Drosophila melanogaster: one gene and its partner. The protein of the gene in region 1 interacts with the protein of each later gene in a pairwise test. Each region holds a gene or a part of one and is shown on either strand. Other genes may lie near its edges. The genes, in order: CG9932 and Sidpn.

The links.
Region 2: the proteins of CG9932 (region 1) and Sidpn interact in a two-hybrid assay, tested with the Drosophila melanogaster proteins (one large-scale study listed by BioGRID).

The regions. Positions count from the first base shown.
Region 1 is NT_033779.5:13,054,574-13,063,455, reverse strand, and holds the start of CG9932 (uncharacterized protein), read left to right. Parts: upstream 1-3,315; 5' UTR 3,316-4,239; intron 4,240-8,882.
Region 2 is NT_033779.5:19,021,618-19,031,280, reverse strand, and holds Sidpn (uncharacterized protein), read right to left. Parts: upstream 3,572-9,663; 5' UTR 3,225-3,571; coding exon 3,176-3,224; intron 2,481-3,175; coding exon 2,169-2,480; intron 1,981-2,168; coding exon 818-1,980; 3' UTR 501-817; downstream 1-500. Other genes in the region: hook, read left to right, coding at 40-278; CG15172 (uncharacterized protein), read right to left, coding at 7,755-8,102.

The DNA of each region.
Region 1 (8,882 bases):
TTTTTCGGTCCAGCGGAAGGGGGATGCCCATTTTTTTTGTGGCCCAGGAAGGTTGGTTGAAATTGAAAACGGCGTTGATTATAATGTCAATACTCATAAAAACAACAGAAATGCTCGTACAACAAAAAGCGGTTTGCAATATGAATAACTCTAAACTTGTGACACACAGAAAAGTGCGATATATAGCCTAGGGCGGGGGATGCGCCGCAGCGCGGGGGCGTGGCTGATTGGTCCGCTTCTGCTGATGGGTGCGGTCCAAAACATTTGGCTCGCTTTACCCCTTTTTATTATCGTTGGGCTCTTATTTATTTTGCGGTCAGTGTTTTTGCATTTACCTTTTTGTGTTTTTTTGCTCTTTTTCCTGTTTTATCGTCGTGTCTTTTTGGAGTTAAAAAATCAAAATGTATGTTTCATGTTTCATGTTCCCCATTGGCACTTTCATGGGCATTCCTAATGCTCAGGGGATATATGGGGTATTTACGTTTTGCAGCTCGACATGTAAACTTTTATTAAATCATTTTCAAATGCTTTCGTTTCATAGTTCAGCTCGATATTATATTAATGGATCTAGCATTTACCAGACTTGAGCTTTTTAAAATTTATATTATTAAAATCTACCCTCTTCCTTTTACATAAAAAAAGGTGTTTATTATAGAGAGTATCCCACTTCTCGAGACTCTCTAATGCTCAATTGATATCTTGTTGTTGGCTTGTCCTTTGGCTACCTGCCTGATCCGCTCACCTTTCCGTTCAGGGGGAGTCCTCTTCGCCTCCACAGCACCTCGATGTCATTGTCACCCCTCGACTTTAATGCGCTTTGGCATGCTTTTAGGCAATAATTCATGGATTAACGCCATTTGGCTTAAGCTCGTTTCTTTGGCTGCTTTTAGCGCAGAGTTTTTGATATTTGGAGCCTCGCCTTCACCTTTTCGTTGGTGCCTTCGCCATCGCCAACGCCACTCGGGATTTGGGATTCGCATTCCTTGGAAGTGACTAATAAACCTTTGGTACCCATCCCCATCTTCCGACTCTCTAATGATCTTGCTCATTTTTGGCCACAAAACAGAGTTTCGTGTGTAGCGATTTGTTGACCACAACAAATTGCATTCGCCCATAGCCTCATAAATAACATTTGCAAGGGTCCCCGTGTATACATATATGTCCTTGTGCCTGGACAAGCTGAGTGACTGACTCCGAGGACTGACTGAGAGCACGTGCTAAGTGCCGAGGCGGTCATTTATCAAATCGGGAGGAGCGGGACGTATTGGTTCGCCTTGATTTATGCCTTAGAATATTATTTTTGATATTTAGAATTCCTTCGACTGCAGTCTGTGTTCGTGCTGATTCTTGGCAAATTTCGTGTGGCATCTTGTATCCTTTATCCTTGCGCCTGATACGAAAGCATTTCGCATGAAATTCAATCGGACCGGAGAGCATCCGCTTCTGTGTCCTGTCCTCCACTTGTTTTAGCCATTTCAATTCCCAGGCGGCAGAATATTTTGCGCTCGCTTTGTTTCTGCCAAGGCATGCAAAATTTTCGGATGACTGTTGAGTTTAAGGAGAACTCGAGGGAGAAATGGTAAAACGAGCAAAAAGATGCTTGAAACGGGTTGAGTCAGGATATGGGCCAAAAGGATGTGAAAGCAAAAACGAAAGACAAGCAGGCGGATGAAAGTTTTAAGCCAGGATGCATATTTAAAGACCAACTTCTTTTTTGCTAGGATATTCACAATATTATCCACACAATGCCTAATAATAAGATTGAAGCTGGATGCACTTAAATATTTAAGTTTGACATTTCCAAAGAATTCACATTGGTGTCTTGGTATTGATTTTATAAGTCTATGGTTTTTAATATGAATAAGGATTATTAGCTTGCAGTGAACTTGACTGTTTGGCAAAATAAAAAGAATTTCTTTTAAAACTAAAAAATATTTCCGCAAAGTTATAATGCTGGAAATTTTAAACAAAAGGAGTCCAAAGAGAGAGCCTGGTTAAGGAAACCTCATTGAGTAGCAGATGGCCATCATTGTTTGGGGAGAAGGGGACAACACCGAGGGGGTGGCGACTAGAAACTGTCTTGCGGGTGACTGAGGCTCCCAAGTGGCATTGGCAGCAGCCCATCGCCATTCCCATCTTGCGCAACTTCTTCTTCTTCTTTTCTTCAACTTCCGTTGCCTGAATTTCCGGCCATGGCTATTTCATTGTTTTTACCGCTACTTTTCCCGCGTCCTCGACTGGCACTTTCCATTTAGCTGAAACTTGATTCGCATTCAGGGCATTTAATAAGCGCTTATTGTGCTTAAGCCTCATTGTTGTCCGTTCATAGTTATTTGTGTTGTTCGGTTAATACTTTCAGTGACTTTAATGACCGGGAAGAAACAATCGGGCCCAAGCAAATGGCAAACTTTGCGAGACTTATCCGTAAATTAAACTTGGAAAACAACCAAGTTTTGATTGGACGGTGGGGAGCTCTAGCAGTGATTCGTTTAATAAGTTCCAGTCCTACCCACCACGTCTAATTGTTCTAAAAAACAATAATAAAAACATAAATATAAATTTTGATTGAATTAGAATTGGAAAATTCCGACATCTGACTGATTCATAGCCATGTTTTTACTTGTTACACATACTGAATCAGGATTTTGGGAATTTTTAAAGCGTTATTATCAAAACAATTCATATAGTAAAAAAAAGGGCGATTTTCCGAGTATGCAATGTTCTTTCATTCCCGATAAAGGGGAAAGTGGTTGGGGCTGTGATGCTATTCTGTGGCTTCTTTGGGCAATTAGATTGGGCATTTAGCCATGAAATTTGCGAACATATGGCTTCTATCAGGCAAGAACAACAAACGGCCGGTGCTAACAGAGCGGCTAACAGTGGGCGGTTAGCAGAGCGGTGAGCTGTTGGGTGTGCGGTTGGGAGGTGGTGGTGCTGTTTGGAAACTGCACTGTGGGGCTTGGCTTGGCGCTCTTTCCTCGTTCGCTTGCTCTCGCGCTCTCGGACTGTCTCTTTCGCATGCCCCCCACCAACCAGTTGTTCGTGCGACTTCGGCTGGCGCTCGGCTTTCGCTTCGGCAGTGTTACAGCAGAGCATCTGCGTTCTTCAACATTCTTCAACACAACAGCACCAGCAGCAGCAACCGCGGATGCTCCTGCTCCCCTTCGCTTCTTCTTCGCTCTCTTAAGCGTGGAGCTCTCTTGTCCGCTCCGCTCGGCTCTCTGGTTCGGTTCTTATGGTTTGTGCCACCGACTGGTTGGCGTTGGCTGGTTGGTTGGCTGTCGCTCTGCAGCTGCGTTCGTGCGCTTTTTGAAAATAGTTACAAGATGTTCATCGAAGTGAGTGGAACGCCGCAGCGGTTAAACGTGGACTCTTGAGCAGCCGAAGAAGCTCGCTTCCGAAATCGCTAAACTGAAGCACAATCGCGTTCTTTGAGTGGAAACGCCAGCACAAATAAGAAACAGCCCCAATCAAAGTCAAATCAAAACAACACTAATTCATCTCTGCGACTGGAAATCAATATTCCAATTCTTCAAGCCAAATAAATAGAAAACAAAATCCCAGTGAAGCAAGAAGTGCATTCGATTTTCCTGCTCGTGGAGCTATTGTTATTTTTAAATCGCTGACCGCAGAATATTTCTACTGCTTAAAATAGACGGCAACATACAAAAAAGTGATGCCGCCAAAACAGAAATAAACCGAAAACCAAAAGGGTAAAAACTCGAAAGTGCCAAAAAAAAAACAAATAAAACAAGAATTTCACTTCGAAAAAGTGCGTGTTCTAAAAATATAGCAACAAATACAAAACCGCAACAAAGAAGTAGCAAATGGGATTATTTTGCTGCCCAACTCAACACAAAACTGCATTTTGTTGAATTGTATATTCAATCTGGAAAAGCAAAGTGTCAAAGTGTAGTGCAAAAATATTTATAAATCTCTGCCAAAACATAAACAACCGACGAAACGAGAGAAGCGTATTCTACTCACATTTCGTGCATTTTATACAGATTTTCGTTTTTTTGGAATACAAAATAAACAGAAGTACAAGAGGCGGAATCCATTAGTTCCGCATTAAAGTGTTAAAATAAATTAAGTCTTGGATACTCCGTAAACTTTGCATTTTGGAATACTTCAGCAGCATTTTGGATATCCGTGCTAGTGAATTTGATATATATTTAAATATACATATTATTCGTTGCCGATCGATCTGGAGGGCATAAGGAAATAATTTCACAAAAGGTTGGTAAACAACTAATGTTTGTGATCTCTGTGATTGTTGAGTAATAGATTGTAGCTGACATAAAGAAAACCATTTATTGCCGTCGCAAAATATTTATATTATGCACACGTCGTTAAGCATACGACAGGTTGGCCAATGTAAGAATACGCTTGTGAACAAGCAAAAGGCCATGAGAAAAGTGCAAACAAGAAATATTGGCGTTTGCTTCTTTACACAATATTAAGTAAAAATATTGAAATATTGAGTAAAAATTAAGTCAGTGAAATTGAATGTTTTGGAACGTAAGTGTATGCAGGTCGATGTTTAATGTTCAAAGTGGTCAACATTTATTCATAAAATTAAAAATATAATTTTTGTTTGTTTCTCATTTATTTTAAATTATTTTAGATTAGATTGAGGTCGTTGAGTGATAAGTAAACAAAAATTCAGTGTATTGTTTTGACGTCATTTTCTGGAAAAATCCCAAAATGTCATATTACAAAGAATTGTCTGTAAGTCAACTAGAACATAAGCCCATAAGGTTTTAGAATCAGACTTGTTTGAAAAAACCTGGTCAACTGATTTTAATTGGAATAAACATAGCCAGCTGGTGGTTGGGTAATTGAAAAAGCCCAGCAGACTTTCCCAAGAAAACGAATCCATTTCGAACAGACCACAACACCTGGACACCGCCAAGTGCGAGATCTTTACAAAGAATAATATATCAGCCCCCCTCCCTTTACAAAGAAATAAGACGAAGCACTGTAAACAAAAGTCGCCAAGTGCATATCTCATTACCAGACCAAGGATCATCGTCCAAACAAAAGAAAGCATTGCGAGAAAGAACAACAAGTGTAGGCAGAACAAAAAGACAAAACTTTTCTCATTATCAACGCAAGTGTTTTCTGCACTCCCACATTTTCGCTGTATTTTTTTTTTACAATTTCCTTATAAGTGAAAGTGTCAGTCAGGGCCATGAATATGGCCACCGGGCAGCTGGTCAGTCTCAGTTCTCAATTCTCGGATGGCAAATCCCACTTCTGCCACCGGAATCAACGTCACACATAAAACTGTGGAAGAAAAGATATTATAGAACGAGGGACATTTTTTACATCTGTCATAAATTTTGCTGCACACGGGCATAAATCTATTTTCTGCATTTTATTTGTTTATTTAAAAATTCTTGTGCACAAGGAGAAGAAAAGAAAGACGAGAGCCATAATTTGCAGTCTGATTGATGTGACAATTCCTTAATTAATTTTTGGTTGGAAATACGCCTTATATATGGCTGGCATTTAATTAGCAAATCTGTTTTTGGGAGAGGTAATACATCAGGGCAAATGATGTGATGCGAGTGCAGCAGAGAAATGAGTTTATTCACATCGCCGAATCTATTATCTGGCTCGTTTACCTTCGCGCCGCCAGGTAATTGAACCCTACTCTTGTCCTGCGATGCCCTTCCTTCTTAGATACACATCTGTATATCGTTCCCACGATTTGTCAATCAATCTTTCACTTTCGCTTCCCTAACCATAGCATTTTTGGCAATTATTTTAGAGGCAGTGCCCCGAAAATTATTGGGTAAAGCAAATAATGCGCGCTCCTGATAAGAACCGCTTGCTTCTGTGGAGATCGAGTTCAGTGACTTAACTTATCACTGCTTGCTGAAACTTTTTGGCTCAACATTCTTCGTTCTTCGTTCAGCGTTCTTCGGGCTTCTTGTTTCTTTTCTGCTGATAAGAATGGCTGAGGCTGAGCTGCCGAAGAAACCGAAGCCACAGCCAATGTGATTACATTGCATTTTAAGTTGTCCAGCAACACGAGAGATTCCCAGATTGGATGGTGACGAATGCATGGCTCATATATGAAATTCTTCAAGGTATATTAAAATATCATCCAAGGAATGTTACAAAGTTAGTACAAAAGTTAATATAATAATCATTTATTATTATTTAATTGGCTAGGCTGACGGATTTATTGGCGAAAATTGCGGTCCAATGGCGACAGCTACAGCCTTTGAAGAACTGCCACTCCATGTCAGGCAATAGTCAACAAATATTTTCCTTCCATAAACATTGTTAAGAATGCAGAATGCATTACACTCTGGCCGCGCCACCCCCTCGATGGCCACCCAATTAGCTTTGGCTACTTGTGCAGTAAATAAGCCAGAAAAAAATATACAAGATGCTGCTGGCTGCTGCTGCAAAAATACAAAAAAAAAATGGAAAATGAAAAGCTGGCAATAGAGGAAAATATTTTCTGCGCCATATTTTGCAGCCAACGCACATAAATAAGCTCTAGACCAAGAAGCCAAAAAGGCAACAGAATGGGCGTACCAAAACTTGGTCGCATTGTTGCTGCTGCCACTGCCGCTCTGTTATGGTTGGCAACTGGCCAAAAAGACATGGCCAAATGTGCGCCAGTTCTCGCTGCTCAGCCCATCGTCCAAAATTTCAGCCTCCCAATCATCCCTTCTCGGCCAATTTCTGTTGTCGGCTGGCTAATAAATAATTTTAATTGTATTTCTTTTAGCTGTACTCTTCTATTTGGCTGGCCCACTTCTTTTGGTAATAAAAAGATTTCCATTGTTGCACTAGTTGGTCTGCGGGAAATGGCTAAAAAGGAACGTGATCAACAGCAAATTGAGTTCGCCTTTATGACTTGGCCAATTTGCACAGTATGTGTGTCTTATCAGGCTGCAGCGACAGCATTGAGGTTGGCCAGGTTTTCCCTTATTTTCCATCTCTTTTTTTTTATATATTTTTTGTTTGCACTTTTTCTGTGCCATCTACTGGTTGGTGCCTCCTCCAATCTTTGGTCGACAAATATGTCGAGTGCTTGACTTGGGCAAACTTTGTCACTGATAAGACTGTTGAACACCCCTGATCAACCGTCCTTCTGCTCATGTTCAAAACTCTTCAGTTTTATGCTCGCAACACCGTAAAAAGTTTTTGAACTATTAGAATATTTAAAAAAAAAGTACAACCAACATCTATTAGTCTCCTTCAATGGGTGACTATCACTTAACTTTCATGTCTTCTTTAGATATATCACTTTCTCCCCAATGAACGCCCAACTATGCGCTAGTTTTTCTCAGTGTAACAAACAGAACCATAATAACCATACGCCACGTTGCACTGAAACTTAAATGAAATGAAACGAAAGTTGTCTTGGTTGTGTGTTTTCTTGGCGACTTGGTCACGTCTTCAATGCACTTTGCTATGTGGTAGGGGTGAAGCGGGGTGGTTCGATGGTGTGCAACGACATTTATTCTGACTGGTTATTGGTGTTGTTGCTGCTGCAGTGGCAGAAGCAGAATCAGTTGGTCCCTGCACAAGTATCTATATCTACTATATGCTCGGATACGAGTATAGTATCAACGTATAAGACACACCCACACACTGGGGCGATGAGTTTTATAGGCGCTTTCAATACTGGGCCAAGGTAGTTTTTATCTTTTTACTTTGCCATTTCATTGTTGATGTGATGGCTGTTGTTGTTATTGTTGCTGGCTCGTCTGGCAGCTTTGGCAGATTTTTGTTGCTGCCTTTTGTAATTGCAATTTGCAATCCTTGAACAATTTGTTTTTTTCTCTTTTCTCTGCCGATTTGCTCTCATTGCCTGCTGTCTCTTTAATTTTGCATTACTCATCTGCTTAATGCTATTTATTTATTTTTCCTTTGCCAGATGCGAGGAAATTGTGCAGAAATAGCACGTGCCGGTGGCAACATTTTCCAAAAATATAACAACATTTAAGCACACACAGAAATTAAGAAAAAATCTTTGAAATCCAAGCTTTGTGTTCTACCTCCTTTCAATCGAACCAGAAAATCTCATATATACAATGATTTCAAATATTCACAAATTGAGAGAAGCTCTTTTGCATTCGAATTTCGATTTTCTATCCATTTGGTTTGTTAGTTTTATGTGTGTTTTCGATTTTTCAATGACGTCTGGCAGAAATTTTCCATTGCAACGAGACAATTGGCAGCCAAGTCAAGTCAAATGAATGCAATTGGCACACACACAGGGGCAGCACGGTCTCTCACCCCTTTTGGAAAAGCCCGCCACCACGCCCCTGCACTTGTGTATCTCTTATTCGATCAACCTTCCTTTCTTGGCTTGACTCTTTCGGTTCGTTTTTCAAACAATGCCAAGCTGTCAAAGCTATTGATTTGAGTGTGCGACTTATGTTTGCCATGTGAACGCCTTTGAGCGCCCACTCACGCCCACATTTGGCCGCCCCCTTTTTGCCCCATCATCTCGGTGTCCTTCTCTCTTGTCTGCGTGTTGCAATCAATGAGTTTTCCTTGGCAAGCGCTTTTCTTCTGCGCTTTTGTCCTTCAGGCTTTTTACTCGTTTTGATCCGTCCTTTCACTTCTTCTTTTACCGCCTCTCTTCACACTCCATCCCGCGTTTTCCTGGCTTTTCCACCCTTTCTTCAGCCCTATTTGTACCAACACACACATGTGACTGCATCTAAAGGCAAAACTGCAGAGCGAGCAGAAAAAAAAGCAGCAGAAAAAAAGTGAAGTAAGGGAAGTGAACATTTTCCACTGCACAAACTTTGTTGCCAAGCTTGTTTTACTTAAATTGTATTTGTACAAGGCTTCAACACTGCCACTTTTCACCCAAACTTCCCGGAATATTGCCTTTTTGAGCG
Region 2 (9,663 bases), 6.0 Mb from region 1:
AAATATAACAAAAATTTACAATAATTGTTGAAATTTCAGCTCTGGATGCTAGCGTACTGGAAAAGAGTGCTGATCTCGTCGAGGAGGAGCCCAAGCCGAAGATGAGTGTGATGGAGGAGCAACTCATGACCTCCGCTTTCTACAGACTGGGTGTCAATGCCCAGCGTGATGCAATCGACTCTAAGCTGGCAATATTGATGGGCTCTGGCCAGACATTCCTTGCCCGCCAGCGGCAGTCCGCGCCCCGCAAATCCCTAAGTGCAATGAAATCAAAGTAGAAAGCATGAACCTGAAGAGTAGGCTAAGTCTCATTTCTTGTTTGAAAACTTATATAACTAATATATAATACAAGTATTTATTGGACCTCCGCAAGGATCTATATCGTATTTATAGTACATACCTTAATAAAATTGCTAAAATGATTCAATAGAATTACCAAAAACAAGAACGTAATTTTTCCCGTACCCCGACCACTTTCAAAACAGAATTCAAGTTTTTTTGTAAATATTTTTGCTTTATGTATTGAATTAAATACATTTAACGCAGAGTTCAGGGCAAAAACAAATGCATACATAAATGAAAGGGTAGCTCTCCTTGGCTCTGGAACCCATCTTGTAGAGAGTCTTGGGCGTTGGCACAGGTTGGAAATGCAATTTGGAGAGATGCAGGAGCTACACAGACGAGCGGTAATAACAATAGGTGTCATCCTCTACTTGGCGATCAGTGGGGGCAGCAAACCGCCGGCTGCCGGCTGGTTCTCCCCTAACTAACTGGTGGTGTCTACATACTTAGTACGTAGGATCTCTGACCTAACGGCTCACCAGGGTCGCCACATGCTCTCATCTTGCCCAGCTGCTGCTGCAGCAGCTGCCGCCTGGGCCATGTAGTGATACTCCTCCTCCTGGCGTTGCCTTAGAGCCTGACGAGCGGCGTTGCTTGTCTGGGGTCGCGGACTGGTCGCCGGAGCCTCGTTCTCATTGGAACCGATGCCACTCTCGGATCTTGGTGAGGATTGCTGCGTGGCGGGCATGGACTTCAGTTCCGACATCGAGACGCCGGAACTGACAGACGCTGCCACCGAGGCAGGTCTCTCTTGGTGCACCGTTGGCGTTCCGGCACCGGAAGTAGCCATTGCCGCAACTGAGGCTCCTGCTGAAGCGGCCACAGCCATGCTGTTGGCATAAGCCGCTGCTGCGGCAGCGACATGGGCAGCCTCCAAGCCTCCCGGAAAACTGGGACTCAACTTGCCGGCCAAATGTGGTTGAACCCGTTGCAACTCTATCAACCGCTCAAAATCCGTTCGGGTAGCAATCGGATCCACCAGCGGCTGGGCACTAAGGCCAAGGGCCGCTGCCAGCTGGACATAGTGGGGCGGCAGGACCAGGACTCCGTTGGCGGACTCTGGTTGCTGCTGCACGTGCGCCTTAAGCTGTTGCTTGTACTGCTCCAGGACATTGGCGCACACCTTGTTGCGATCCTCCTCGTAGCTCAGCTCGCTGGGAGCGACGGCATCTACATGCGGCGACGTCTGGCCTTGTGTCTGGCTTTGCACCTGTATTGGTATCGGAGTTTGCGCCTGCGCCTGGAGTCCACGATTGTTGTTCTCATCCTGGGGTGCTGGCGTGACGGGCAGCGTCCTCTGCTCAGCGGCTACCATTTTCAGACCCTTGCTGTAGTCCACTGGATTCGAATCCTGGCTGCTGTAGTCCAGCGAATGCTCCTCGGGCTGCGACTTCTTCCCGTGATTCAGGTCGAAGCAACTGCTACTGCTGGGGCTTTCGGCAAACGCGGCCGTCGAATGGGGACAGATCTCCACGTCGATCTCGGCTATGCACTGGTCCAGGTGGCGCAGCAGTCGCGCCTTGGAGCCGGGCTCCGCCAAGGTGGGCATGGTGCCCATGGGCGGCGGTTCCGGGGTGGCCAGGTAACGAGCCACCTCGCGAGCGCAGTCCGTGTAACCAGCTCTGTATTTGTTAACCGCTGAAAGAAAATCAGGATTTGAATGTTATTATCTAAGTTTCAATATAAGAAGTTTGCCTAGGTCCTAAATTTAATGAATTTTATTTTAGATACAGATATGTTCTTCAAGATGTATTTATAAAATTACATTTTGTAGCGAAAATGTAAAGTCATAATACGAAAATTTTTACTTTTATATGGAAACTTACTGGGATCGTCGAGATTGCGATGCCGCTGAAAGTGGCGAACGGTTAGCTCCAGGATGTCCGCCTTCTCCAGCTTGGTGTGCTTCGCCTGGCCCTCGCCGTTCTTGGCATTTTGGGTCTTGGTGGACTCGAGGATGAGGGCCTTCAGGATGGCCAGGCTCTGGTTGATTCGCGCCCGCCGGCGCTTCTCCATGAGTGGTTTGTTTGTCCGCTTGCTGATGTCCTGCGACGAAGTCACATTCTGCGTTGAGCTCACCAGCCCGATGGACTTTATGCCGCTGCCATTAGTTGAGCCGGCGGCGGTGAATCCGATGCCTGGCGGAAATACAGAAGGGTCAATAATTAATACAATTATCGCTATAACCTGAAAGTTTTTTGTAATTTAATCATTTATAAACAAAGTTATCTCGTTCGTTTCAGAACTTTTTGAAGTTGAAATTCTCATGTTCAGTTTTTCAAGTTACATTATTTTGCTTATTATCAATTTTTTGTTGATTCAACGAACTTCGGTTTTAAAATTAAACATCTATATCTATATATCATCAAACTCAAATGAAATTCTTTTGAGTTGAGGTTGCGAGTTCCGAGTTGTGAGCATAATGGAGCTTCATGTTTAGTTTCAAGACACTTTGGTGCTTTTATTTCATTTTGCTTTTTGTTTAAGATTATTATAAAAGTAATCAAAAAAATTTTTTATTGTTTGAAAATTATTTAATTTGATACTTCTTGGCCACAGGTGGCTTTTTCTTTGCAAAAGTATGTTTTCTATTATTTTAACTTTTGTTTAATGGTCACTAAGTAAATATAAATATATTAAACAATGGTGAGCCATGTGGGACGTTTTTTTTTTGTGGAAACTTGTTTTCTATAATTTTGTTTGCCAAATATTTATTAGTCACATTTCACTTTAGAAGTTTAGGACACGTTTAAAAGAGCAGCTTATCATTTTGAACTTCTAAGTCCTATTTTCTGATAGAATTCAACTTATAAAGCACAAACTTGTTTATTACCAGGTGCTGATTTATTTTTTGAGTAATCCTTATCACGTTTTGCTGTCATTTTCTCATTTTTACGAAATCCAAAAGAATTCGTTGCCCGTCGTCAATTAGAATGAAATGCCTCGTTTTCTCAATTTGGCTTGATTTGGGTTTAATATTTTCGAAACTTTCAGTTTAGAATCCACCCGCCAACAATCACGTCTTTTTGGTGGTGGAATCAGGATTCAAATTCCACTCGACGAGGAGGACACGCGTCCGTTCTGTTCGAGGATTCACGGCTAACTGACGGCGAGCAGCGAAACAATTGCGACTTTTCACTTCGTCGCCTGTCGGCTGTCTGGCTGGCAATGGGGTTTTCCGATTTTCCGCTGCCGCGTGCGCTTGGCTTGTGCAAAATTTCCCGACTGAAATGCTTGGTTAGCTCATGTTGCTGCTGCTGCTGCTGCTTTTGCTGTTGGCAGTGGCACGAGCCATCGTCGTGTGGCGCAGCAACCAAAGCAGATTGGAGTCAACCGACAATAAAAGGAACAACAACAAAAACATCAGCGACAGCAGCAGCAACAACAACAATAGCAACAACAACAGCTCTAGCAATCAGCAGGAGCGGCAACAGCAACAAAGCCTGTGGATGTGGCAGCAACAGCAACGCCTGGCTGCCTGCCACGTTAATGGTGGTTGTGGTAATGGTTGCCCCACCGACCTCCACACACATACACAAACACACATAGATTTGGCGAAGAGCTTAACGACGCAGCGGAGGCATGTTGCCAGTGGGCGTTGGGTGGATGGGCCCGTGGGCGGAGGGAGGGGGCTGAGTGTAGCAAGGGGATGAGGGATTGGTGGCGCGCTGGCTGCGGCAAATGTCAGGCAGCCCAAGCGACAAGCCGGATCGACGTGCCGCCATTTGGACGGACGGCGTGACCATGTCTGGCTTTCACACACACACACACACACACACTGGCACACCCTCAGTCACAGACACAGGAACTCACTCATACACAGGCATACAAATCAATTCGCTTAGGCGCAAATATGAAACAACCCAGCACACATGGCGGATGAGGGTTATTTTGGCAGAAAATGCAAAGCATACTTTTCAGGGCATGGTGTAGGCTAACAATTTAATTGATTAACTAAAGCAGGCTAAATGAATAACTTATTATTAGATTGCAAGACTTAATTAGTTTTTATTTTAAGCAAAATATTTATTTGATTCCAAATCATTCATATTACCTTTTTTTCTCGCCACAACAAACTGTCGACCGAAAACGTGCTGCACACTTTGTTCACTGGGTGGACTGCGTCAACGGCGGGTTAGCCGGAGCCGGGATCTGGTACGGGGTTGTGGCCTGCGGGCGACGAAGCAGCTCCTGCTCCTTCGACCGACTGGCTGTGGGTCGTGCGGGGTCAGTGGGGGTGGGATGGCTGAATGGATGGATGGATGAGCGGGCGTGTGGGTGTTTGCTGTCGCTGACTTTGCCATTCGGCTGCCCGCATCGAAATCATAACACCAACGAGGCGAAACTTCTGCGGCGCAGCAGTCGTGGCAAATAATAAGCCAGGCCAGCGGAAAACGGAGGAGGGAGCCAGCGAGGAGCAGGAGCAGGAATGGTAGGAATGGCAGTAGTGGCTGGATCCAGACGAAGACAACTGTGACAGCGGCAGCAGAAAGGACTATTAGATAAATACGATTGCTGGTGCGAGTTTTTGGGGGCGCAATGCCGTGGCAACAAAGTTGATGGCTACAAATTGGCAGGGATGTGGGCGGGCACACATCCACATCAGCGGCGGCTTAACAAGGTGCGCAACGCATTGCAATTCCCGTCGATTTAAACAGTCCAAATGCGGCCAACAACAAGTGCCCCAAACTGCGTGCCATACAATATGGAAATTCCACATTGCTGCAGTGCGCCCACATGTGGCGGGTTCACAGGACTCCGACACTGCGTGTATCCAAAACCAATCGAATTTGTACGTAACATAATGCGTCACAAGGTTGGCAGGATAATCGGAGCTTAGCTCTTTTTACAGACGATGAGTGGCATCACATGGCTGTGCCGCATTGTCGGTATTCATATATCAAGAGCTGGTTACATTATGTGGCAAACTCCAATGATGTGACTTAAAGGGACGACTTAGTGAAAAGTGGTTGGCCAGAATCGTGAGGTATGTACTTATAACCCGAATTCTAGGTAGACAAAGTTCTGGGATTATTTCATCACTAGTTCTGGGAACATGCACTTAAATATTTTGTATAATAGAGCAGGAATCATATACTTCAAAACTTGGTACTCAGAATACTCGTACTATCAGGGCATCTCTTACCAGCCATAATAGCCAAACTCCCTCCTCTTTTCGCTGATTTAATTAAGACAGATTCCGGGAACTGATGCCGCATTGTGGCTACGTAGAATTTCAATTTGCAACGCCTGAACAGAAGTTTCCCCCGCGGCAAGGCAAGGCAAACAACGGTGCTTTTGTGAAATTTTAAGCGCCAATTTGGAAACGGGGGAGCATAATGAGCAATTAGCAGCCGCATCTTAAAGCTGGCGAAGGCCAGAGCCTCACCCAGTGACGCCTAGTGTGGCTCTCCTGTGGGTCGTTGGCACTCGTCAGGTGGCGTTTTTATGCGGCCTGGCCAGGTGCAATCAGTGTGGAAAGCACAAACATGGCCGGGGCGCGGGAAGTGCTCTCCAAGCTACGCACAACGGATCTGGGGGGATAATGCCGAGGATGGCGAGAATATATGTGCGTGGAATGAGGACTGGCAACCCAATCCACTTGGCGCATGTTGCCAGCTGCCATTGCCGCCAGCCAAATTACTGAACTGAACCAAACTGAACGATGACTTGAATGCTGCCCTCGCGGCCTGGGAAGCTTGCGTTGGTTGGGATCCGGAGGCGGGTGGCTCCGTGGGTGGCTCCGTGGGTGGCTCGGTGGTTCAGTGGGTCTGGGCCAGTCATGTGGTGCTGGCACACACATAAATCGTTTATAGCCACACCGAGAGCAGGCAGTCCGCCACCAGCGTCATCATCGTCATCGCTAAAAGCCCTGCCACGACCCTGGGTCTGGGCTCCAGTTGTACGGCTTTGGCTCTCCGGCTTTTCCACTTCCTCCACTTCTCGCAACCCCACTAGCCGCCTCACTTGCTGCCGATGTTTCTGGTCGACTTGACAGGCCGCCCCATTGCCACTGCCACGTCCCCAGAGCCAACCCCCTCCCCCCTCTCGGATAACCTACAGCCCACCCTCTGCCCTCCACAACCCACATCCCACTCAGACGTGCGGGAGAAGTGGCATTGTAACAGCCGGCAGCAGGCCACATGCAACCTTCGGCCACGGATCGCTGACTGAGGGAAATACCCAACCCGCGATAGAAAGCTACACTGAAACAAAAGCAAGCTATGATTTACTTTAAGCATGTATCTTGAAGTTGGACCCAAGGAAATAACTATATAGCGTATTATAACTTAATAATCAATAGTTTTGCTATAATCACAAGTTATGTTTGTTTTATCTGAAATTCAATTGGAGTTAGTTTTCGAATCAGAGTTATGCTAAAGCAGAAATATTTTAAATATTTTTCCCATAATAACTACTTTATTAATATAATGAACATGCCCTTAAAGAAAAATTTGCTTCTGTGCATTCCCTGCGACTGGTAGTCGGAGTCAAAGGTATAAAAGGCAAGTTAAGCGCAGACAGCAGTGGCAACCGGAGCCCGGCGAAAGGGGAACGGATGAAGGGCGGAAGGACAAGGGAGCGGTGGCAGTGGCAGGAGCAGGCTGGAGACGGATCTCGTGCTCAGTACCGGCAGCGAGAACAACAATAACAATGCGAAAAGGTATTGGTGGCAAAACAGAACTGAAAATCAAACTGCGGGGGAAAAAGGACCAAAGGACTCGCTCGCACACAGACAATCGCACTGGCGCACCAGTGAAGGGAAAGCCCCACAGGAAAAGCTTCGGAAGTGCGCTCCATGCCGCAATGGCAACGGAAGCAGCACAGGACAGGACAGGACAGCCAGAACGAACGAGCGGTGCGGTGGGCGGGTTGGTTTGCTGGTTCGGTGGCGGTTGGGGAAGGCAGTTTGTCAAGTGGCGGAGGGGAAAAGGACACGAGGCGTAGCATGAGCTGGTGGCAGAGGGCCATGACACGACCTGCTCCTGCCGTTGTGTCGGCTAAAGAGAGAAAAATGACTAAATCAAAAGGAAGTGCGCCACACTGTGCGGTGTAAGAGCACGTACAATACGCCGCACTATGGGTAATTTCACCTGTTTTATTGGCATAAATAAATATATCGTTATCTATTTCTTGTTTAGATTTGATAAGCTGGCTCATTTCACTGGACAAACGGCCAGCCGGTTCCAGTGTTTTAGGCAGGACAACAAGCGCGACAAACGCGCATTAAATTCCTTGCTAGTACCACTGACTACCAAATTGTAATTAAAATAAAAATGAAAAATAATTTTATGCTGAATTTACTCTTTTTTATTGTCGAACAATTAGTGGCTACGTTTTACTTTCATTTACTCGACCACTTGGCAGACATTAGACGAAAGACATAATTTCACTTTTTAATTGAATGTGGTCTAATGATGACGATCCATCCCGATGCTGATCTGCTCGGAGTCACTATCCAGACTGGATTCGCAGGTCTCCTCGCCGGATGATTCAGTGTCTGTGAAGATCGATATTGAAAGCTGCTCCTGGAATAACTCATCAAAGTTTGCTAGCATATCGTCGTCTGGCTGTTCCGGTGGCGGGTAGTTGGGCAAAACCTGGCGAAATACGTTGTAGCGATCCCGCAACTCGTCACTCACTTCCTCCGGACGACGCTCCTGGTTCTGGAGTTGCTGCAGCAAAGAGAACAGATGGACCCGGTTTGCAATGCTGCAATCGGGTAGCAGATTGCTCACTCCCAGTACATTAAAACACATGGTGTTCAAGGTGTCAGTCCTTTTCCAATGTCGATAACTCTGTGGTTTGAAATCTTTAAATAGTTACAAAATTTGAAAGCAGCTGTACCAACCAATTCGAAAAATTACGAAAGTGAGCTCTTTATTTTGAAGGTAAATGCAGTGCATATATGTATATATTTTATACCCGTTGCTCGTAGATTTCGTTACTGTAAATTTTTATTGCGATTTGCGAAAAAACTTTTTGTCACTCCCATTTTAAAGCAGTCCAAAACTGCCACTCCCGCACTTTTGAAAAGTGTTTAGATTTTTCTTCGTTTTATTATTTGTATCGCCAATTTTGATCTGTATACCGAAAACACGGTATCCACGCCCCTCCTTTAACCTACAAAACGACCAAGCCGGTCGCGCCCCCACTTTTGAACAATTTCAAAAAAGATATCCCAGAAAACTTATGAAATTTCTCGTTTGCATTCACACTAGATAGAGTAACGGGTATCTGATAGTCGGGAAACTTGACTATAGTATTTTCTCTTGTTTTTAACTATATTAAAAGTTGAAATTTTATTCTAGAAGTTGGTCGAGGACATCACTTGATTAATACACAAATTGTTATTTAAGTTTACACGCCCAAAATAAGCAACATATTAGTAAAAACACATAGTACACACCTGAGGAATGAGAATTCAATTCAAATTTGATTTGTTAAGGCCTTGTGGTTGAAAATATGTACATACATATATGAATTTAAGTAATCACTACAAAAGGAAAATCACCGACGCCACGTGCTTTATATTTACAAAAGCTGATTTTACAGCTGTTATTTTGTAACATTGGACTGTTAATTTTACATTTGCGTTACATAACATAACCCCTAATCCGTCGAGAAAAACAATTATAAATGATTTCAAAATTTTACAAAATAACATTTTTGCCAACAAATCAGGTGAAATTCCCCACAGTGCTCCACTCCGCCTTTATTGGAGCTCCTCTGCGTGTGTTCAAGTGCGAGTATCTGGGTGGGTGTCTGTGTGTATGTGTGCTGGCGCGTGCTTCGAAGAACGAAAGCATGATGGCTCGAAACAACCGACAAATCCGTCCAGATCGAACTTAATATAACAGTCGCAAAAGTTCGGCGCTATTGATATTTCCAGATATATTTTAAAATACATTTATTTAAAAATACTTTGAATTCTAGCATGATTGAGGGTAGGACACACATAAAACCAATTTGAAAGCTATTAGCACTGAATTTATCAGTGTAATGAATTTATGTAATGTACCGAAGTATGTACCTGAGGTACCGAAGGTGGTTAAATAGCTTTAACGTCTGAAGGATAGCACTTCCGAAAACTTTGTCGGCTGCGCAAAGGCATGGCCACAATATGGTAAAGGCCGTACGAAGAAGGGGAAGGGGGGGGAGAGCACGAGGGGCGCAAACAGAGCAGGGAGCAGTGGTGTGAAAAAAATTGAAATTTGCGTGAGTGCTCCAACTGCGGCACTAGATAGGATGGTGGCACGGGCGGGGTACGGCATGGCATGGCATGGCAGGGCATAGGGGCATGGCTTGGTTTGGTTTGGC